3 linked regions of the Elephas maximus indicus genome follow. The protein of the gene in region 1 purifies or fractionates together with the protein of each later gene. This does not show direct contact. Links are inferred from orthologs where the notes say so. Each region holds a gene or a part of one and is shown in the gene's direction. Other genes may lie near its edges.

Region 1 (7,432 bases):
GATAGCTTGAGATGGCTGGAATGGATAACAGAGATGCAGAGGGCAACCAGATGATAGTACTGAATAAGTGACTCAAGAACAACAGAAAGCAAAACACTTGATAACATTAAGTATGATTCTTCATAAAATGCTGCTGCTGATTAATCTGCCAACTGTATGTATTCAATGAAGGTACAGAGGTTGTGCTAAGGGAATAGAGAAAAAAGATTAGGGACCATCAGAGAAGAGAGATGCCATGGCATTTGAGTTGGGCCTTAAATGATGGAGACCTGGGGTTTGGGACAGACAGGCTGAGGGGTTGGCATGGCAAAGGTGGAGAATTGACTGGGCCAGAGTGTGAAGCAGGGGATGGGGACACAGAAAGGCCAGAAGGCCTTAGTAACTGCAGAGCTAGGATTCCAGGTAAAGAAATTGGGCATCTATTCTGCAATAAAGCCAGACGCCCTCTGCGATTTTCTAAGAAAATGAGGGCAAAATCCAAAAAAAAAGTAAGGGTTATAAAGATGAGAGATATACATAAAACGTGACAGTGGAAGCATTAAACTGCTAGTCTAATAGTTCAAATATTTATGGGCTTTTGATATGGTTAGAGGTACGTGTGAGAAATAACAGAGAACATACAAGAAGGTCTGATGAGGAGTCCCTCCCCTCATGGACTTAATTATGTGAGCTTGGTTTCCTTATTTATAAAGTGAGTGTATTAGACTACGTGAAAGCTAAAATCACTTCCTGCTCTAAAAATATGTCCTGATTTAGAGCTTTGACAGAAAAGCAAGAGTTTCATGCAAGGCAAAGTCAAAGAAAGTCATATGATAGAAAATAAGCAAGTGCCTTGTGAGGTTCTGTGTGAACACAGGAGCCTAAGCGGAAAGAAGAGAAATCAATGAGGCCAGCCTTTTTCAGATAAGCTCTAAGGATGGGGTGGGATTCTTGAACAGGCCTTGTAGAGAGGGTTGTGGCAAGACTGGAGGTGTTGTTTGAGGACAGTGAAGGTATCAGCCTGTGTTGGAGGCTGGAGGTACTCAGATGGGACACCATCTTAAAGGATTTGGACAATGTCCTAGAGACAAAAAAGGAAGCATTGAAGATTTCTCAGTAAGAAGTGGCAGAATGAAAGAAGCATGTTAGGGATGTTTAAGGATGATTCTTTCCCTTGAGGTGGTAATCACTAGAGGAAAAAGTAACAGACTAGAGGAAAAAACTAGAAATAGGGACACTAATAGGAAATGGTTGCATTTATCCAGTTATTAATTCATTTCAAAAACATTTGTAAACTGACTATTGTAATAACTTAAGTCAGGGTGTGGTGATTGAAATAAAAATGAATAGAGGCCAAGTTGAGCAATAAAAGCAAAGCAAGAAAAAGAAAAAGAAAATTTTTTTCAAAATTCCAATAAGTCTAGAAGATAAAGGAAAGACAATAAAATCATTCTTTCAGCAAACTTTTATTGACCATTAGCCACATGCCAGGCAGTATTCAAAGTCAGACAGAGTAGAGTTTTGCTCCCAAGGAGCTCTCAGTTCAGTGAGGGGAACACACAAAGGAATGCAGGATGTAGTGGTAAACAGTAAGTGAGCTCTCACAAGAATTCTGTGAGTAGGTAGAAAGGCTTCACTGCATTTGAGAGGAATCTTAAATGTTACCTAGACAGAAAAAGTGTATGTGACAAAGGCTTTATAAGCAGATAAACCAGCAAATTCTAAAGTAGAGCATCTGATCCCTCTTATCTCAGGGATACAGACCTGTAGTTTGGCTTTGTTTTTCAGAATTGATGGTGTTATCAACTCCTTGTCAACCCCAGAGGTGGGTTATGGATAAAAAAAAAAAAAAAAAAGGAAAGGTGGGGTAAAATAGGTAGGTTGAATGGGGATGAATGGGGATGGGTGAGAGAAAGGGGAAAAGGGAAGACTTGCACTTGGTAGTTTCTACCAAAGGAGCCCTGCCGGTGCAGTGGTTAAGCACGCAGCTGCTAAATGAAAGGTTGTGGGTTTGAATCCACCAGCACTCAGCTGGAGAAAGATGTGACAGTCTGCTTCCATAAAGATTACAGCCTTGGAAACCCTCTAGGGCAGTTCTACTCTGTCCTATATGGTCGCTATGGGTCGGAATTGACTCATATGGTGCACAACAACAGTAATGTCTACCAGCCCATTTCCTTCTTGAATATTCAAAATGCCAGTGACACCTTAAAAATGGCCACTGTGGCCGCCTGCACCGTGAATTTAAACTCTTTTAGGATAGCGGAGATTGGACCATGGGCCGGGCCTTAGGAGGCCCCAGGAGCTTGAGACTCAGGGAGAGGTGTGTGGGTGTGGAAGAAAACACTAAGCTGAGGGAGCTTGATGGTCATACCCATTTCTGAGTTGGAGACATAGAGAGCTCTTACTGTTCCCACCCTGTTCCCTTTCCAGTGTGTCTCAATTGAAGTGGCAATTCAATACTCATTATTTCTGGCTAGAACCCAATCTTTGGACAAATCTAAGTATTTGAAGAAAGATATAGTCAATGTATCAGTTTTTACCGGGGGAACTACCATTTTCCCAGCTGACAGGCACAAAGCCACTCATCTCCCTACCACAGTTTCTCCTCATTCTAGTTTATCCTTTGTTGCCTTCAGTTATTTTCCTAGAAAACAAATTCTGACCTGTGGAAAAACTGCTGGTTCCTTGTTCCTACAATACCGAGTTCAAACTTTCAGAGAGTGACAGACAAGGCCCCTTCATGGTCTAGCACCAACCGCCTTCTCTAGCCTTGTCTCCATTGCTCGCACACACACACACACACACACACACGCACACACACACACTACACTTCAGTTACACCAAACTTCTCACATCCCATAAGTGAATATAAGGCTTTTCCAGATGTTTTTTAGAAGTGGGCTGGGGCTATCCGGAACTGAAATTGCATACTGGGATACTCAAAAGAATGTGGTTTGGAAGGGGGATATGGGCTTGAGGTTGGCAAGTCCAGTTAGTCTGGTCGATGTCTTGCCCCATAAGTGAGGAGGACCAAAGTGGAACTTTTAAAGTGAGGAGTAGGAAGCAGAGGCCCCTCTTGCTGGTGTACAAGGATGATACTGAGAAAATATCTAAGGAAACTAGGAAATAGCAAGGTAGGGATGAAGGAGCAACACAAGAGCTTTAAGTCTACTAGATGAGAAAAGGCCTGCTGGTGTAGAGGTTAAGTGTCTACGTCTGCTAGTCAAAAGGGTTGGTAGTTCGAATCCGCTTGGTACCCCTTGGGAACTCTATGGGGCAGTTCCACTCTGTCCTTATAGGGTCGCTATGAGGCGGAATCGACTCGATGGTACGTACTGGGCTTGGTTTTGGTTCTTTTGGTGGACGATGAAAAGAGAATGGGCATTGTGGAATTCCAAGGGCTTGGGTCACTGCAGGTTTCTCAACCTTCCTATGCTTTGGGAAGGAACAAGCAATTTTTTAAAAGTTCTACTCAAAACAACCTTTAAAACCCTGTGGAGCAGTTCTACTCTACGCACGTGAGGTCACCACGAATCGGAATTGACTCCATTGCAACCAACAACGACAACATGCAGTAGCTATTTTATTGCTATTTTCATAGTAATTAACCCCATTGCTGTCGAGTCGATTCCGACTCATAGCATTATGGTTCAAAAATAAAGGTATAATAAAGTCTCCTTCCTCACTAGGGGTACAGTTATCATTCCCATTCAATCGGGCGGGGGGGTGGTGCGGGGAGGGGAACTATAAGCCCAAAACCGTAAACCAGCTTGTTTGGGCACAGACGGAAAAGTAGCAGAACTGGGCTTGTCTGACTCCATTTACAACCCACAGAAACGATAATTTGCCTAATAATTAAGCCTTAAAAAAAAAAAAAAATCCAAGAGCCTGTAAATGGAGCTGTTCGATAAAGTGTATCTGTCTCACATATCGGGTGGGGTGCAGTCGGTTCCCCCCGTCCCTCCGCCCCATGGGGCAGGCCAGATGTCTGTGCTTCCCAGATCCAACACAAAGCCAGCTTTCCCTCTCAGGAGCTGAGGCCTCGGCACAAAAGAGGTAACCCAACAAAAGACTAGGGGTCCAAGACCGGGAAGGAGCGCGGAAGCTCGGAGGTGGGCCCGAGCATGAAGGCTGGGGTGACCCTGTCACTGCTGCGCCCGGCGGACACCGCCTGCCCCTGTCACAGGCTCCCGAGGCTCCTGCTCCAGCGCGTTCCGCCCAAATACCGGCGGCCCCGCCACCCAGTCCTTTCTGGGAGGAAACAGTCCAGGCCTGGAGGCCACAAAACCCTGTCGCGCTCGGGAGGCCCGGCCCAAGCCCCGCCCCCCCGAGCCGCCTCTTCCGTTAGCGCCGGGGTGGGGTCTACACGGCCTCGGGGATCCGCTAGAACGAGGCCACGTTGTCCTGCGCGCTTAGCGCGCCTGGCCCCGCGAGTCCGGTCGGCTGCGCCCACTTCCTGGACCCCTTGCCTCGGTACGGGTCTCCGTGGGACCGGAGTGTCCCGGCGCCCACGCAACGGGGCGCCGAGAGGGGCCCCGCCACTTCGAGTCTCCAGCGCGCGGGCGCGACCGGGATCTGCGACCAGCATCTGGGCCCGGAAGGCGCCGCCCCGCTCACCTCCCCGCGCGTCCTGAAGTGGAGACCCGTAGGGAGCGCAGTAGAGTGGGGCTCCGCGCAGAGCTCAGCGAAGGGGCCCATGCCCGTGCGCCCCCGCGGGCCAGCGCCATGGCCTCCGGGAGCGTGGCCGAGTGCCTGCAGCAGGAGACCACCTGCCCCGTGTGCCTGCAGTACTTCGCCGAGCCCATGATGCTCGACTGCGGCCACAACATCTGTTGCGCGTGCCTCGCCCGCTGCTGGGGCGCGGCCGAGACCAACGTGTCGTGCCCGCAGTGCCGGGAGACCTTCCCGCAGCGGCACATGCGGCCCAACCGGCACTTGGCCAACGTGACCCAGCTGGTGAAGCAGTTGCGCACCGAGCGGCCGTCGGGGCCCGGCGGCGAAATGGGCGTGTGCGAAAAACACCGCGAGCCCCTGAAGCTGTACTGCGAGGAAGACCAGATGCCCATCTGCGTGGTGTGCGACCGCTCCCGCGAGCACCGTGGCCACAGCGTGCTGCCGCTCGAGGAAGCCGTGGAGGGCTTCAAGGTGAGGGCCCGGCGCGCGGAGCGGGGAGGGGCGGGGAGCCGGAGTCGGACAAAGGGAGGAGAGAGCCAAGGGGGTTTCCTTTTTTCCGCCTAGAAAATGGCTGAGCCGGACGTGTGGTTCACAGCCGTCATTTCCTCTCTGTCCGCTTCAGAGCCTTCGCACTCAGATTTGGGAGAAAAACCTGTAGCTGGTGAGGAAGCCAGAAGTCTCCCCCACCCCCCACTCTGCTTTCCCTGTTATACCCCTGTGTTTACCCGCTCACGGACACGTAGTGTATAAAGACGGCCCCCCGTAGAGACCTCCCCACGCTCCCACCCCCCACCCCCACCTGGACATTTTGAAAGGTGTGAGGAAAGCGACATACACATCAGCCACCTTCAGAGACACAAGTACTCCTGTGGGCTCTGATCTCAGACAGAACACACCCGGAGGTTAACTGGCTGTACATACATCGAATCAAGCCTATAAGCATTTCACCAGCACTTCCCTGTGCTCTGGCCTGTTCTACAAGCTCCTGGAAAAGAACAGAGCACTTTACTGCTTGGGCAAGTCATTTAACCTCTCTGAGACTCAGGAGGGTAACAACACATTATTATGAAGATTAAGTGAAATATGTGTGGAGCCCTTTGTGAGCTGTTGGATCAACAGACTGACACAGCTAAACACTAACATGGAAACAAAGTATTAAATATAAGTTTTAAGGCAACATTCAGGGAATGCATGATGCTGTGATACCTGTATACTTGAGTGCTGCAGGGATACACAATTATACATGTTTAAATGTGAGTACATTAATACATAATTTGCCACTTAATGTTTAGAGTGCTTTCACTTAATTATTTCACTCACCTTCATGATAAACACTGAGTAGTTTGGGAAGGTGGTGTTCATTCACCCATGTTATAAAAAAAATGTTATACATGGGGAAAATAAGAGAAGTCATTTTCTCAGGATACCTCTGTGGAGGAGTTAGTTTGGCTTTAAGCCTCTTAGTGCAGTCACCTTCCCAACGAAACTACAGTATCCTTCCTGGGGAGAAGGTAATCCACTGTTTAAGATACACACAAACAGACAAAGGAGACCCTTGGTGCCCCCCTGGGTTCTTGGCCTTTTTCTCCGTGGTGGCAATGTGGTCTAAAGACAGGCTCTAACCAGGGTCTTGGCATGAGGTGTGTGGGTTCCATGTGTGACATGCAGAATAACCATGATGATGCTAAAGTTTTCCTAATCCTGAACTGGCAACTGTCATGGTTTCCTCAGGAGCAAATCCAGAACCAGCTGGACCACCTAAAAAGAGTGAAAGACTTAAAGAAGAGACGGCGGGCACAGGGGGAGCAGGCACGAGCTGAACTCTTGGTAAGGGTCATCACGAATGATGGATAATATTACTTCTGCTGGCCAGTCATTCCCTCTTCTCTGGGCTGATGCTACTTCTGTTATCTTTGTTCAGCCAGGTCACCCACAGCTGTTAGGTGCAGTTGGGATCTCATCTGGACACCTAATAGATAACTAAGCTTATTTCCACATTTTGGGGAAAGGATGGAGGAACCAAGGTGGGAATCCCTGGAGATTCTGACCTTCAAAGAAGATTTAACCTGCTAGCTTTGTATAGATCAGCATTGATCCTTGACAGAGCTGAAACAGGTGAAATTTGGGGCATACTTAGCTTCCTTTCATATCATCCTGTAGACAGGAGCTAATAGTGACTTTGAGTAAGCCTTGCTGTTGCTTCTTGCCTGGAATATTCCTATCCTTGACAGTTTATCAACTCTGAACTTTTCATTTTGCTCTCTTCCCCCATCCTTCCAAAGCCTTGCCAAGTAGCTCATGTGCTTATTTCTGATAGGAGTATTTGGGCGTTTTGTTTTTGAAAAAATATATACATGTATATATCAAAAAGTACAAAAACTTTTGCAACACACACTTATATTTCCACCACCCATGTGTTTATACTTTTTTATGGGCAATAATTAAAATAGTACAAATATTCTTCCAGTAGAGATATTTGCATCTGAAAAGCAAACTCCTAAACTAGTAATGTCTAGTCCTGTCTTGTGAGAATTTTTGTTAACTACTCCTAGCCATGGTTGCACAGTGGTTAAGTACTACGGCTGCTAACCAAAAGGTTGGCAGTTCAAATCCACCAGGCGTTCCTTGGAAACCCTATGAGGCAGCTGTGCTCTGTCCTATAGGGTCGCTATGAGTCGGAATTGACTCGACAGCAATGGGATAGGTTACTCCTGGCCAGGGTATGGTAGGTAAAGCTTTTAGGCAGGAAGCTCTTTCCCATGGTACCCTCTGATTC
Region 2 (7,026 bases), on another chromosome or scaffold:
GGAATGACTCAATGGCAACAAGTATGCAACTAATTTAAGGTCTGTAGTCCAAATTCCCCACTGGTCTCAGGGCAGTATTGAGCCTTGCTGTTATTAAGGCAGACAGTTTTCACAAAGGGGCTGCATGTCCTTTGGTTCCTCAGGTACATTTGATGTTGAGGATAGGTAATTTGTGAATAGCTAGACTGAGACAGTCAAGTGCTCTGGGTCTAAGAGAACTGGTTATCTAAAATAGAGAGATGTACTTTCATGGACAGAATAAACTCAGTGTACCTACCTTTACTGGCCCCAACAGGAGTCCCTGGGTAGTGGACATGATTAATGCGCTCAATAGCTCACTAACCAAAAGGTTGGGGGATCAAGTCCACCCAGAGGCACCTTGAAAGAAAGGCCTGGCTATCTACTTCCAGAAAAGTCAGCTTTTTAAAACCCTATGGGGCACAGTTCTACTCTGACACACATGGGGTCACCATGAGTTGGAATTGACTCAACAGCAACTGGTTTTACTGGTTCCAACAGAATAACTGGATGCTTGTGTCTGAATTTTTACACCCTAGTTCAAGAATGTACCAAGGAGTTGCAAAGGTGATGATGGTTGACTTGATCACCTTCCACCTCTACTAACATCCACACATTTTTTCCCTGCACATTCTTGGCACTTCCTTTCTGGCTGCTGTATTTCCTGTAAGCATAAACTGGGGCTCCATTCATAGGCTGAGTTTAGTGGAAGCTGACATCGTATTACTCATTCAACTCCAACACCAGTTAGGACAATCAGGTCTTACTGATAGCCATTTGCTGTGTGGGATGACCCACAGAATGGGGGACTGAGGATCAAAACAGCCATAATCCTGAAAAAGAAACAGTTAATGGAAGAACTCAATTTCTAATGACTTTGTACCTTTGAAGTGGAGGAGGAAAAGTAAGCCTTAGGGTGGAAATTACATAGGCTGGAAAATAGACTGTCCCAAAGCCACCCACAGCCAGAAACTCCTATGAGGCAAAGGTGATTAACAGGGAAACATGAGGGTTATGTGTGTAAAGCTGTCCCCACTGAGCAGTCTCTAAACCCCTATGAAAGTTCAAAGTCCTATGTTAAAATGGGTTATTGACACCAAGGAGAGTCCTGGAAAACACAAAGCATGACAGTATCCATTCCGTAGAAGCAACTTGCTGTGTGCCATGCCAAGTGCCTAACAAGTGAAGCGCCTTCTTTGGGTGTACACGGGAGTGACATATCTTCAGGTCCCCTGAATAAGCCACTTGCATTTGAAAAGCAAGAATGTTCTGGGATGGCTTCCCGTTCCTTCAATTGCCAGGAAAGTCACTGAAACTTATTATAGACCAAACTGTATCCCCCCTCAAAATATCTGTTGAACCCCTCTACCTTGTACCTGTGGATACAATATATAGGAAATGCTTTTTCTTCTGTTATATTAATCAGGTCATATCAGTGCAGGCTGCATCCTAAACCTAATCATTTCTGAATTATAAAAAGACCAAAACAGACACAGAGAAACACACAGGGGAAGGCAGATATCCTGTGAGGATCATCTATAAGCCAAGGAATGCCAAGAAACGCCCAGGGCTACTAACAAGGAAGGAATGACATGACCAAAATTCCCATTTGAGCTTTTAACCTCTAGAACTGTGAGAAATAAATTTCTGTTTTTTAAAGCCACACATTTGTGGTATTTTCTTTATGGTTGCACCAGGAGACTAAGATGAAACATCACCCCTAAATTCTTCTCTCATTATTGAAGGCAATGCACTCCCTTGGGAATGCATAATGTCTTCATTTGGTAATTACATATTACCAAATTTGAGGGACACTGGTTGAAGGTGGAAACCCTAGTGGCATAGTGGTTAAGAGCTTGGCTGCTAACCAAAAGGTCAGCAGTTCTAATACAAAGGCACTCTTTGGAAACCCTGTGGAACCGTTCTACTGTCCTATAGGGACGCTGTCAGTCAGAATCCACTCAACAGCAATGGGTTTGGGTTTCTGGGTTTTCTGGACTCTTATCCTAGACTGTGAACCCTCCTCTACGTATCACCCTCAATGTTGATAGTACTTCGTATATTTTCTCTGGGTGGTTCAAATGGTTAGCAGGGAAAGGCTGGAGGTTCAAATCCACCCAGAGGTGCTGTGGAAGAACCACCTGGTGATCTACTTCTGAAAAATCAGCCATTGAAAACCCTATGAACCACATTTCTGCTCTCACACACATGGGTTCCCACGAGTCAGAGCTGACTTGACAGCAACTGGATATTTTATATTTTCAAGAAGCTGCCCAACTAAACACAGACAGTCACTTCCTTTCAGCAAAAGCATTATATTGTTGCTGTTAGGTGCCACTGAGTAGATTCCAAATCATAGCAACACTATGTACAATGGAAAGAAACGCTGCGGGTCCTGTGTCATCCTCACAATCATTGCTATGCTTGAGCCCATAGTTGCAGCCACTGTGTCAGTCCATCTCATGGAGGGTCTTCCTCTTTTTTGCTGACCCTCAACCAAGAATGATGTCTTTCTCCAGGGACTGGTCCCTCCTGATAACATGTTCAAAGTATGTGAGATGAAGTCTCACCATCCTCACTTCTAAAGAACATTCTGGTATAGTCTTATAAGTAATATAGTCTTACCCAGTATTTTTGATATCTTCTCCTTTGTCTGTTAATACATCATCTTCCCATTTTAAGTGGATTTTTTTCCCATGAGAGAAGCCCTGGTGGTGCAGTGGTTATAGGTTTGGCTGCTATAGAAAGGTTGGCAGTTTGAACCCATCAGCTATCCCACAGAAGAAAGATGCGGCAGTCTGCTTCTGTAGATTACAGCCTTGGAAACCCTATGGGACAACTCTACTCTGTCCGATAGGGTTGCTATGAGTTAAAACTGACTAAAGGGCAACAGGTTTGTTTTTTTATTTCTTTATTTTTTTTCCCATGAGTTGGTTCCCCAGAAATTTTGCATTTTACTCTTTGTCCACTTTCCTAAGTATCAATCTTCGATGTGTTCATTCATGTTATTGTTTTCTAGTGACTTTGTTTGTTTTCATTAACACAATTTATTTTCTGCTCTGCAACTGGCAAACATGAGCAAGAAACCCACTTCAACTATCATTCCAGCCATTCCAGAAGTTTTCACCATACGAGAAAATGCTCTCTTCTATTAATTTTGGGCACATACTAATTTCCAGGATTTCTTTCTTTCTCTCTCTACTGATAGCAATCCCTTTTCTCTGCCTGTAGTCTTCAAGACATTTCTCAGGAGTTTCTTGGCCTCTATACTTTTCGCTCTAAAGTCTTTGCTTCCATAACACATTCATTCCCACAGCTTTATTCTAAGGAGGGGTGCCCATATTTGACTCCTAGCCCAGGTGTCTTATGAGCTCCAAGCCATACACAAGTGCCTTCAGGGCCCCTCTCCTGAGAGGTCCCACAGCAGTGTAAATGCCCTATGTCCCAATCAACGCTCATCGAAGCGTCTCCCCATGTGCCTCGCACTGTGTCCCTAAGAGAGTAAATGGGTACCAACAACGTCCCACTTTCCCAGGATAGAGACATGCATTCCGTCTGCATCTCCTTTACACCTACGTTAAAGTATAACAGCCCCTATTCTACCTCCTAAATCTCAGTGCATCCACGTACTTCTTACATCCTCCCTCTCCTATCAGAGCGCGGGTCACACCATCTCCCCCCTTCTGGATGCCTTCCATGTTCCCAGCGGTCTGTCCCCATTCCACACTGCTGTACAGTTATCTTTCTAAAACATAGATCTGTCCCTGTCACTCCCCTGTGAAAAGTCATCCATGGAGAGGCTGAGTAGGCTGCATTTGGGGACTGGACACAGTGAGAAGGGATCTTGTGTCAGCCAGGACTTCTGGTAGACGCCCCTATGCTCTATCCACTTGTGGTGGTCGGGGGCGGGGAAGGGGGCGGGATTGAGCCCCCTTCCCCCCTCCTCCTTACTGCGGAAAGCTGCAGAGAGAGAAGCACTCACTTCCTATTCAGCAGTCAGCGGGGAGGGAGCCTCTGAGCAGCCACGTAGGCATTCTCTTCTCTCTGGAGGAAAAGGCCCAGCAGCTGTCCGAGGAAAAGGCCCACCAGCTGTCAGAGCAAAGGGACATGTCGCAGCTAAGTAAGAATCTGGGTGATTCGAGCCCTCCTGTCGAGGGCCCGAAGCCACCGGTCTATAGCCGCCCTACGGTTCTGATGCGGGCCCCGCCCGCCTCCTCCCGGGCCCCACCAGTCCCTTGGGATCCACCTCCTCTTGACTTGCAGGCTTCATTGGGTGCTTGGCCGGCACCTCAGCCTGCCTGGGAGGCCCCACAGGGCCAGCCGCCAGCCCCGGTGGCGCCGATGGCCCAACCTCCGGCCCTAGGGGCCCAGATGGTCCAGCCTCCCCCTCTGGGAGGCCCGATGGGCAAGCCTCCGACTCCTGGAGTCCTGATGGTCCATCCTCCTCCCCCGCCGGGAGCCCCGATGGCCCAGCCTCCAGCTCCCGGAGTGCTTATGGTCCATCATTCAGCTCCGGGAACCCCCATGGCGCATCCTCCCCCTCCGGGGACTCCGATGGCCCACCCTCCCCCTCCGGGGACACCGATGGCCCACCCGCCTCCTCCGGGAACCCCGATAGTGCACCCGGCCCCTCCGGGGACCCCGATGGCCCATCCTCCCCCTCCGGGGACCCCGATGGCCCATCCTCCCCCTCCGGGGACCCCGATGGCCCATCCTCCCCCTCCGGGGACACCGATGGCTCACCCTCCCCCGCCGGGGACACCAATGGCCCATGCTCCCCCGCCGGGGACCCCCATGGCCCAGCCTCCAGCTCCTGGAGTCCTGATGGCCCAGCCTTTGACGCCGGGAGTCCTGATGGTCCAGCCTCCAGCGCCGGGAGCTCCAACGGCTCAGCATCCACCTCCCGGAGTCCTGATGACCCAGCCGCTGCCTCCGGTAGCCCCGATGGCCAAGCCTCCAGGTCCTGGCGTTCTGATGATGCATCCTCCGGGTTCCAGAGCTCCGATCGCCCAGCCTGCAGCTTCAGGAGCCCCGATGGCGCAGCCAGCTGCCCCACCTGGGCAGCCTTTGGCTTCTTGGGCCCCACAGGCTCAGCCTCTGATCCTGCAAATCCAGTCTCAGGTTATAAGGGCTCCTCCGCAGGTTCCCCAGGGTCCTCAGGCCCCGCAGGCGCAGCTGGCCACGCCTCCGGGCTGGCAGGCCACCTCGCCGGGATGGCAGGCCCCTCCACAAGGCTGGCAAGCCACACCCCTAGGCTGGCAGACCACGCAGGTCACCTGGCAGGCCCCAGCGATAGCCTGGCAGGCACCTCCATCTGTGCGCCAGGGCCCTCCGCCCATCCGACCAGGCCCGCCACCCATCCGCCCCGGCCCGCCGCCGGTGCGCCAGACCCCACCCCAGATCCGCCAGGCCCCTCCGCTGATCCGCCAGGCGCCACCGCCCATCCGGCCAGCCCCGCAGGTCCTGGCGACCCCGCCGCCTCTCTGGCAGGCCCTTCCGCCTCCTCCGCCTCTGAGGCAGGCCCCGCAGGCTCGGCTGCCGGCCCCGCAGGTGCAGGCGGCTCCGCAGGTGCGGGCGGCCCCGCAGGTGCGGGCGGCCCCGCAGATGCGGGCGGCCCCGCAGGTGCGGGCGGCCCCGCAGGTGAGGGCGGCCCCGCAGGTGCGGGCGGCCCCGCAGGTGCGGGCGGCCCCGCAGGTGCGGGCGGCTCCGCAGGTGCAGGCGGCCCCGCAGGTGCGGGCGGTTCCACTGCCTGCGCAGGTGCCCTCGGCACCACCAGCAGGACCACAGGCGCCCCAGGCCCAGCCTTCGACTCAGCAGATCGCGCACTGCCCGCCCATCATCTGGCAGGCCCCCAAGGGCCAACCCCCAGTGCCGCACGAGTTGCCAACGTCTATGGAGTTCCAGGAGGTGCAGCAGACCTGGCCAGCCCCGAAGACCCCTGCTCACTTTTGGCAGCCCCTGCCGGCCCAGGAAGTGGAGAGGCAGGGCCCGCAGCTGGTCCAGCTGGAGCAGCCCTTTCAGGGGGCCCCGCCCTCCCAGAAGGTCCTGCAAATCCAGCTACCCACCCAGCAGGCCGAGACATCGGGCTCGGGCTCGCAAGCAGAGCTGCCCCCTCTGCAGCTCCAGCCCTCCTGGCAGGCCCCACCCGGAGCCATGCAGGCCCAGTCAGCAGCCTCCTTAGGGGCTGCAAATTTTCACAGGGGCTCTGCTAAATCACTGATGACTCCTCCATCCGGAGAATCCAGGGCCTCTTCCGTAGACCCTAGGGCCTCCTCCAAGGAACGCCGGACCTCTTCAAAGGAACGCAGGACTCCCTCGAAGGACCGCATGATCTTCGCTGGCACTTTTTGTGCCCCAAGGGCAGTGTCAACTGCCCGGGCATACCTGCCAACTGCCTGGAAAAACCCACCTGGCACATCAGAGACCTTTACTGCCACCTCAAGGGTCTTTCCAGCTACCTCCCCGATCTACCCTGCCTCTTCTGTTACCTTTAAGGGTCCAACTGTGACCTCAGAAACCCCGAAGTCACTGCCGCTTGCTCTGCAGAATCCATTTGCCTGTGAAGAAGCCCTGCCTGCTGTTTCCTGGGTTCCTCAGCCCAACTCCAATGCCTCAAAGGCATGGAAGTCAGCACCCACCTTCCTGATGGCCTCAGCAGCTGTTCCTCGGGCAACAGCCACCAACGATGAGGCCTCTAAGACTTCCCAGCAGCGCCGCTCAGGCAAAGTTGCCCGGAAGAAGAAGCACCTGAATGCCCAAGAAGACAGCAGTGGTCATATGCTGGCCCTGCATGATTGGCAGGCCCCAAGGCCCTGGAGCAATCTGAACTTGAGTGACTGGGAGGGCCAAAGCCCCCTCCAGGTCCTGGGTGACTGGGAGGGCCTGAGCGTCTCCTGTGGCCTGAGTGGCTGGGAGGGCCCTAGTACCTCCAGGATCTTGAGTGGCTGGGAAGGGCCCAGCACCTCCTGGGCTCTGAATGCCTGGGAGTGCCCAAGCACCTCAAGGGTC
Region 3 (7,917 bases), about 72 Mb from region 1:
TTAGGTACTTCAGTTTGAAAAATGGAGTTTCAAATTGTCTTCTTGGTATCCATGAAGATTTTTTTTTTAAAACATTTTACTGTGCTTTAGGTGAAAGTTTACACAGCAAATCAGTTTTCCATTCGATAATTCATACACAAATTGTTCCATGACATTGATTGCAATCTTTATGAAGATTTTAATGAAACCACAAAACTATAAAACAAGATTGTTGATATCCAAATACAAACTTGACTTGGCTCATTTAAGTGTTTTCAGTGCAAATGCTAATTTTGCATTCAATCTCTAAACTTCTTAACGAAGAAAATGAAAAGATTTCATCTACTAAATGTCCTGCGAAGAGTCCCTGGGTGGTGCAAACACTTAAGTGCTCAACTGCTAGCCAAAACTCTGGTGCTTCAAACCCACCAGAGGCACCCTGGGAGACAGGCCTAGCAATCTGCTTCTGAAAGATTACAGCCATGAAAACCCTATGGGGCGGCTCTACTCTGTACACATGGTGTCGCCATGAGTCAGCACCAAGTCCATGGCAACTAGAAACAACGAACGTCCTGCACACCTTGTAAACAACACTGCTAAACGAGGAGTGTGGTTTGCTTACATGTGACATGGCAGCTTTCATAATGAAAGTTTTGGTCACTTTAGTTTCTTCAAAATGTGGAAAAGCACTTAATCACATTTTTCACTTCATAGAAATGGAATGAGATTGTCTTAGTTATCTACTGCTGCTATAACAGGAATACCACAAGTGGATGGTTTTAACAAAGAGAAGTTTATTCTCTCACAGTTTAGGAGGCTAGAAGTCTGAATTCAGGGTGCCAGCTCCCAGGGAGGGCTTTGTCTGTCAGTTCTGGGGGAAGGTCCTTGTTATCAATCTTCCCCTGGTGTAGGAGCTTCTCAGTGCAGGAACCCTGGATCCAAAGGACGTGCTCTACTCCCGGTACTTCTTTCTTGGTGGTTTGAGGCCGCTCTCCTCTCTGCTCGTTTCTCCCTTATATATCTCAAAAGAGATTGACTCAAGATGCAACCCAATCCCTTAGATTGAGTCCTGCCTCATTAACATAACTGCCTGTAATTCTGCCTCATTAACATCATAGAGGTTAAGAGTTACAACGCATAAGATAATCACATCAGATCACAAAATGGTGGACAACCACACAATACTAGAAATCATGGTCTAGCCAAGTCGACACACATTTTTGTGGGAGACAATTCAATCCATGACAGAGATAATCTCCTTAGACATGTGCCTACAATATGACTATCATCATTGCTGGCCGTAGAAAAGACGTTAAAATATTTGTTTGCCATAAAATCACATTTTCAAAGTGTGCAACAAGAAGAATATCCTGCTCCAATTTGGAAATACATTGAGAATGAGAAAGGGGACAAGGATTACAGTAAAACAGAAACATACATACTGTTTTCTAAAACTGTTTGATAATCCTTGAAGAGGCCATAACGAGCCTAGAAAAAGGATGAACGGACTGCACCTGAGTTGTTCAATGTTCTGTGTAGATTGCAATAAAAACTCACATAGAAAAAAAAAAAAAGACTAAATTTTTTTGTAAGTAAGATTGCTTCATAATTTTTAAACTGACTAATTTGGACTCCAAGTTTGATTTCACAATTCAAATCACCTCTATGCTTTAAAATGATTTTGCCTGGGGAAAAGAGAGTTAACTTATGATGACATTCAACGTATTTCAGAGTGTTTAAAAATGATGGGCATTTTAGACATGGAGAACCTACATGATTATAGATGCAAAGGACCCGATTGACAGACAAAAGCTAGTTTACCAAAGCAAGCTTGTAGATACAAAGTGGATGGACATTTTGGAAAGCTGGAAATGAATTCCTACAAGTTAAAAGAACTGCTGTGTTATTAAGTAAAATCCTAAGTATTTTATGCTCAAACACGTTTGTTGAGAGAATATTTAATGTCATTGCATTGTACTGACACCAGGAATCAGTGCAATGTAGGCATTATAAGAGCAGAGCTGCAAGTCGAAATTAATTTTATGTCTGACTGTATTCAGTTTTACCACTACACAAAAGAAAAGAAAGATACCCTAAAGGCTCCAGGGAGTTCAGAGATGCATTAATAGAAAAGGCAACTAAAAGAGTAAAAATATCCTACTGTATCTTGGGACAGAAAGAAACATGTCATTGTTACTTTTTAATATAGGTAGTATCTGTTTAATTAGTCCCATTGTATTTACATTCTCTTTTTAAAAAGTCTCACATTTATGTATCTTAAGAACACACAATAATATAGCCTATAAAATTTAAATATGTAATGGAATTAAAAAAAGAGTTAAAATAAATTTCTGTATTAGAGGACAGAAACATCATAAAAATATTGTTATATGTTTTTCACACATATTTCTTTTGTTTAAATAATAGCATTTATGTAACAGAAAAGAAATAAAACTATATAATTTCAAGTAAACATCTATTTTTCATGTTTTTAAATAAAAATAATAATGCATGTGTATGATTGTTTATTATATATTATTTATTTCCACACCAGACTGGCAAAAATTAAAAAAAAAAATCAGGCATTTCTAAATGTTAGCAAAAATATGTAGAAAAGACAGTATTATAAACTGTGGGAGTATAAATTGGTACAACTACTTTGTGAAATAATCCAGCAATACCTAGTGTATTAGTTTTCTACTGCTGTGTGACAAATTACCACAGGCTTAGTGGCTTAAAACACATTTATTAGCTCACAATATCTGGGTGTCAGAAGTCCAGGCACAGCTTAGGCGTTTCCTCTGCTCAGGGTCTTACAAGGCTGCAATCAGGTATCAGCCAGGCTGTGTTCTCATCTGGAGGTGTGACTGAGGGAGAATCTGCTTCCAAGTTCTCTGATTGTTGGCAGAATTCTTTTCCTTCTGGTTGTGTGAGTCAGAATCGACTCCACGACACTGGGTTTGTGGTCGATGACTGAGGGCCCTGGCTTTTTATGGCTGTTGGTTGACCTGGAGGCTTCCCCAGAGTCCTGGGGGTCACTTACGGTTTCCTGCCAGGAGACCTTTTTCAGTTCACAACATGGCAGCTTGCTTCTTCAAGGCCACCAGGCCAGTCTCTAGCTCAGTTAGTAAGACAGAGTCTCCCATAGTGAAACACAGTCATAGAATAACATCCCATCACCCTTGCCATATTCTATCCGGTAGAAGTCAAAGTTCCCGCCCCCCAATCAAGGGGAGGGGATTATATAAGGCAACACCAGGAAGCAGAGATAGTTGGAACCATCTTAGAATTCTTCGCAGCACATCTAGTGAAAATAGTCAACCTCCTAGGATCTAGCAGTTTCCCTGTATAAGAATGTTCATAGCAGCATTGTTTATCATAGCAAAAATACTGTTTTATAATTTTTTAATTTCTCAAAATACAAAAAGATGTACTAAGAGAGTCATTAGTTTGTAAAACACCATGTATGATAACGTTTTTTGTAAAAGTAACATGGATGTAGGAATTCTGCTTCCAGCAATGGCATACTGTTGCTGTATTAGACCAACTCTCAGAGAACAACTAGACAAAATATACAAAAGATTAAGGCACTGAAGAGCTACCAAGGCAGTGAAAACCTGTGAGTTCAAGATCTGGAAAAAAGGGGAAGCTCAGCTTTCCACTTGAGATGACAGATTCTGAAAGCAGTGGCTGAAAAACTGAGCAGAGCTTTTGGCTGTCCCTTGGGGCTGGGGAGGCATGGCCAAGGAGAACCAAAACCAAACCTCTTGCTCTCAAGCCAAGGAGAAGAGGCCCTAGTAACTATACCCCACACTTGGCTGGGACCCTCAAGGGCTGTACCCTAGCTAGGAATAAGGATGAACTGGAAATCAACTAGCTTCCATAAAGATGGTAGTCCAGCTCAGAATAATCCTAGTTTCCAATTGGAATAGGTGATCTGCCCTTAGCTTAGCTGTGGTCAGGCATCCTTGCTCCCAAGTCTCTCCCATAAACACCTTCCACTTCCTCAGCACCCCTGCTCAAACTTCCAGTCTGATCCGTCTAAGTGCATCACAGTGGGTAAGCTGATAGGGAAGACAGAAATCCAGGACATACAAACATTGCCTAACCTAGGATTCAGGTGGTATGGTCCTCCCGTCTTTCCCTCACTTATAAATGTAAATAACCTACCCCATCTCTTTTTCCTGGCTTCTCCGCCTATCTTTTAAATTGATTTGATAAAACATGTCGTCTGTGAGACTTCCTATTCCATGACCTCTGCTTGGTTGGCTTCCATCTTTCTTCTTTTGAAGCCACTGCTTTACTTGCTCCCTCAAAAGAAGAATTCCATTATATATTTTTTCCCTTAAATTTAACCATAATATTTATGTGCCCTAAATGTTCGTTTGAGAGCACTTATTGAGAGCAAAACAATTATTTGGGTTTCATATAATTTCTTACTCATATATTATCGGGCAATGGGGATAGGAAAGAATTAGAAGTGGAATACACAGGGACTTCCTGCAACCATGCAGCACGCGAACGCCTTAGACCTGAGGCCACTCACTTTTAACACTTTTTAAATGCCCCCTGGGGCTTCAATACATCATTCATCCAATAAACACGTATTAGGTACTTGCCATGTCAGAAGCTAAATATGGAGAGGTGAATGAGGCTTCATCCGCCCTGAAAAAGTTTAGTGAAGACAGATTTGTAAACATAACTTTGCCATACAAAGTAAGAAGTACCGTCTCTGTCACGCCTCCACGAATCTACAACCCGCGCTGTGGACAGCGAACCCCCTCCCCTACCCCAGGCTCCTTACAGACTGGAGACGGCGAGCGGCGCTCAGTGCCACACTGGTGGAAGACTACGTCTCCCAGCAGCCTCTGCGGCAGGGCGGCGGAGCGGAGCGCGCAGGCGCGGGGACCGGCCCCCGCACGCAGGCGCAGTGCGAACGCCGGCTGAGCTGGTCTCGCTGCTCGGTGCGCGGCGGCGGAGAGCGAGGCCTGGTGAGCACCGCCGCGGCGCCGGCCGGCTCTCCGAGGTTGTGCGCAGAGGAGCTACAGCGGACGGGCGGGCGAGCGGCTCACCTCAGCAGTGGCACCGGGATCGGTTGCCCTCAGCCTGGTGAGTGCTGGGGCCTCGCGGCCGCGGCCCCTCCCCCTCCCTCGGTGCGACCCGCGGGAGGCCCCGGCGTGAGGGCGTGCGCCGGCCGGGCTCGAGCTCGGCTCCCGGGCCCGGGCGTTGGCGGCGCGTCCGTGCGTCACGGGCCCGGCTGTCCTCACTAACGGCCGCGCGGCCGGCGCAGGCCAGGGTGGGGGTGGGGAGCGCGGGCGCGATCGCCGTCAGGAACGCCGGTCGAGGCGGGGCTGGAAGCGGCGCCGGGGACCGCGGGGCGCCGAGGCGGCGGGGCGGGGTGAGGCCGGCCGGGGGCGGCGGCGGGCAGCGCGGAGCGCGGGGACCCGGGCCGGGGAGGGCAGGGCGGCGAGGACGAACCGTCGCCAGGGCAGGAAGGGGCCGTCGTGGGGACCGACGAGTTGGGGCCCAGCCCGGAGCGGCGGCCGGGCGGCCTGGGAGGAGGCAGGAACGACTGCAGTTTACAGATGTCATAACAACCGGGGCCCGAAGCGGCCGACGGGGCTGTGGTAATTATAGGAATGACAGAAGTTCGCGTGTGCGTGGCGTGTGCGACTCGAGGGAAACAGCCAGGTGTCAGGTTCAGCTCAAAACGTGAGGAAACTCAACGGTGACTTAGGGAAATCGTCGCGAAGGAACGTTTTAGGGTCGAACGGAAGGAAGTACTTAACGAGCCCCTTTTCAATGACAGATTGCAAAACAATTGACTTTTAAGATTTAAATTTAGAATCAACGACTGTGAATTTTTTTCTGTAAAGGCTGCTAAATGATGTTTTTCAGTCTTTTTCTTAAATAAACGGTGTCTTCAAAGCCCCCATTTCTTAGCAGGGGATGGGTAGGTGGTCCCGCCGTCGGGCGCCCCCCACCCCCCATGCTTCAAAGCTTATTTTTGGCATTGTTGTTTCCTTAATTTGTTCTTCCTTCTGTAATATTCTGAAAGTAATTCTCACATTACTTTCCCCCGATTTTAAAGACTGAAGAAATGACATTTTCTCAAAGCAAAGTGAGAAGGAACTCTATTTTATTTTTACTGAAATAATTTAGTCTTGGAAGGCCCTGTTTTATGTGCGATTCATGTTTTTGACGTGCAGGACATGAGAGAAAGTAGAGGAATGACTATTAATTGAGCGCCTTTGAAGGCGTAGTGTTAAGTATGTTACATGTATTAAAACATTTAATGTTGTCAGTAACTCTGAAGTAAATTTTTAAAAAGTAAATATTAATTTGTCCTGTTATATAGACAAAAACATCGAAGGTCGGGGAAGTTAAGTAACTTACCTAAGGTCATTCAGGCCTTGTTGGAACCAGCCTTAGAGCCCTAAATCACTTCCATTTTAAGATTTCTTCTCTAATACTCACGGGTTTTGTTTTATTTCATTTATTCAGCTAATATTTATGGAGTGATCATGTGCCTGAGATATAGTCGTCATCAAGACACTGTCCCTGTCCTCATGGAATTTATACAAGACACTGTCCCTGTCCTCATGGAATTTATAATGTAGCAGGAAAGACTAACAATATAAAATACTGACTGCAGGGCATTTTATTAGTCGTTGTAATTGAGCAGAAACTGTAAAGCACTTTACTAAATAGCAAAGGAAGTTCAAATGCAGGCAGACAGTATAATCCTTGAGGAGTTTACAGTCTAATAGGAAATCAAAACATAGAAACCTAGAATGAACCAAATGACAAAAATAAACCTATTCCATGAAATCAGTATACTTACATAATGTTACTTTAGCTTCTCAAATAAATTTTTTCATAGAACTATGATATAATATCATGTACCTTGACTTTTATCTAGGATCGACGTAGAAGAAAGGACATGAAAATAATCTTAACTTCGTTGCTCCTGGAGACACTATTTCTTATTTATTCATCGATCTTCATAAAATAGAGACCTTAGAGACAGATTCTTACGAGCTCAGTACCAGGCTTTTTTCTCGGTCATTTTTATTTTTAGTTTTTTAAACAACTGCTTTTTATTAGATCATGATTGTTTTAATGCCGTTCTGTTTCTCTTTACACTTTGGCTGTCAGGAGGCTCAGAACTGAGTTGTGTTGAATTTTTGTAATTTTCCTTAGCCTCAACTGTGTTATGTATATTTTTTGCGAGGTAGCCTGGAATTATGCTCAGTTGTTTCCTGGCCTGTTTTCTTTGTGTTCTCTTATGCCTTCACTATTTTCTTATTTTACCTTTCCTCTTCCGTTTGAGGGCAGGAATTACATCTTATTCTTTTTATCTCCAGTGTTTTCAGCATATTGCTGGTTGAATTGTTGTTGTTAGGTGCCATCGAGTCGGCTCTGCCTCCTAGTGACCCCGCCCGGTCTTTCACCAGCTTTAGAGTCATTGCTGTGTTTGAGCCTGTTGTTGCGGCCACTGAGTCAGTCCGTCCGTCTTGTTGAGGGTCTTCTTCTTTTCACTGACACTTTACTTTACCGAGCATGATGTCCTTCTCCCGGGACTGGTTCTTCCTGATAATATGTCCAAAGTAGGAGAGATGAAGTCTGGCCATTCTTGCTTCTGAGGAGCTTTCTGGCTGTACTTCTTCCAAGAAATATTTTATTCTTTTTATCTCCAGTGTTTTAGCATGTTGTTTGTTGAATTAATGATTAAATAAAGTCTTGATGATTTTCTGACGTCTTGCCTTTAAATCTGTCAAATTATTTTTGGAAGTATGTGTGAATACTGTGTATAAAATCAACTTTTGATTGACCATGCAAGTAAAGATGACCTAAAGATAATCTCGTTACTGTCTTTGTTTTGTTTTAAGATCTCGGTGTACTTTGCAGGATATTATGAATTCAGCCATAATGGAA

What was found.
Region 2: the proteins of TRIM27 (region 1) and MAGEL2 purify together in Homo sapiens (affinity purification with western blotting; 3 studies listed by BioGRID and IntAct, with this or other methods). This does not show direct contact. The link is inferred for Elephas maximus indicus from reciprocal best matches to the Homo sapiens genes TRIM27 and MAGEL2.
Region 3: the proteins of TRIM27 (region 1) and KPNA1 purify together in Homo sapiens (co-immunoprecipitation; 3 studies listed by BioGRID and IntAct, with this or other methods). This does not show direct contact. The link is inferred for Elephas maximus indicus from reciprocal best matches to the Homo sapiens genes TRIM27 and KPNA1.

What each region holds. Positions count from the first base shown.
Region 1 is NC_064819.1:85,514,577-85,522,008, reverse strand, and holds the start of TRIM27 (zinc finger protein RFP), read left to right. Parts: upstream 1-4,328; 5' UTR 4,329-4,707; coding exon 4,708-5,127; intron 5,128-6,387; coding exon 6,388-6,483; intron 6,484-7,432. UniProt on the Homo sapiens protein: E3 ubiquitin-protein ligase that mediates ubiquitination of various substrates and thereby plays a role in diffent processes including proliferation, innate immunity, apoptosis, immune response or autophagy.
Region 2 is NC_064831.1:99,075,615-99,082,640, reverse strand, and holds the start of MAGEL2 (MAGE-like protein 2), read left to right. Parts: upstream 1-4,015; 5' UTR 4,016-4,125; coding exon 4,126-5,568; intron 5,569-5,730; coding exon 5,731-7,026. UniProt on the Homo sapiens protein: Probably enhances ubiquitin ligase activity of RING-type zinc finger-containing E3 ubiquitin-protein ligases, possibly through recruitment and/or stabilization of the Ubl-conjugating enzyme (E2) at the E3:substrate complex.
Region 3 is NC_064819.1:13,087,983-13,095,899, reverse strand, and holds the start of KPNA1 (importin subunit alpha-5), read left to right. Parts: upstream 1-4,910; 5' UTR 4,911-5,088; intron 5,089-7,917. UniProt on the Homo sapiens protein: Functions in nuclear protein import as an adapter protein for nuclear receptor KPNB1. Binds specifically and directly to substrates containing either a simple or bipartite NLS motif.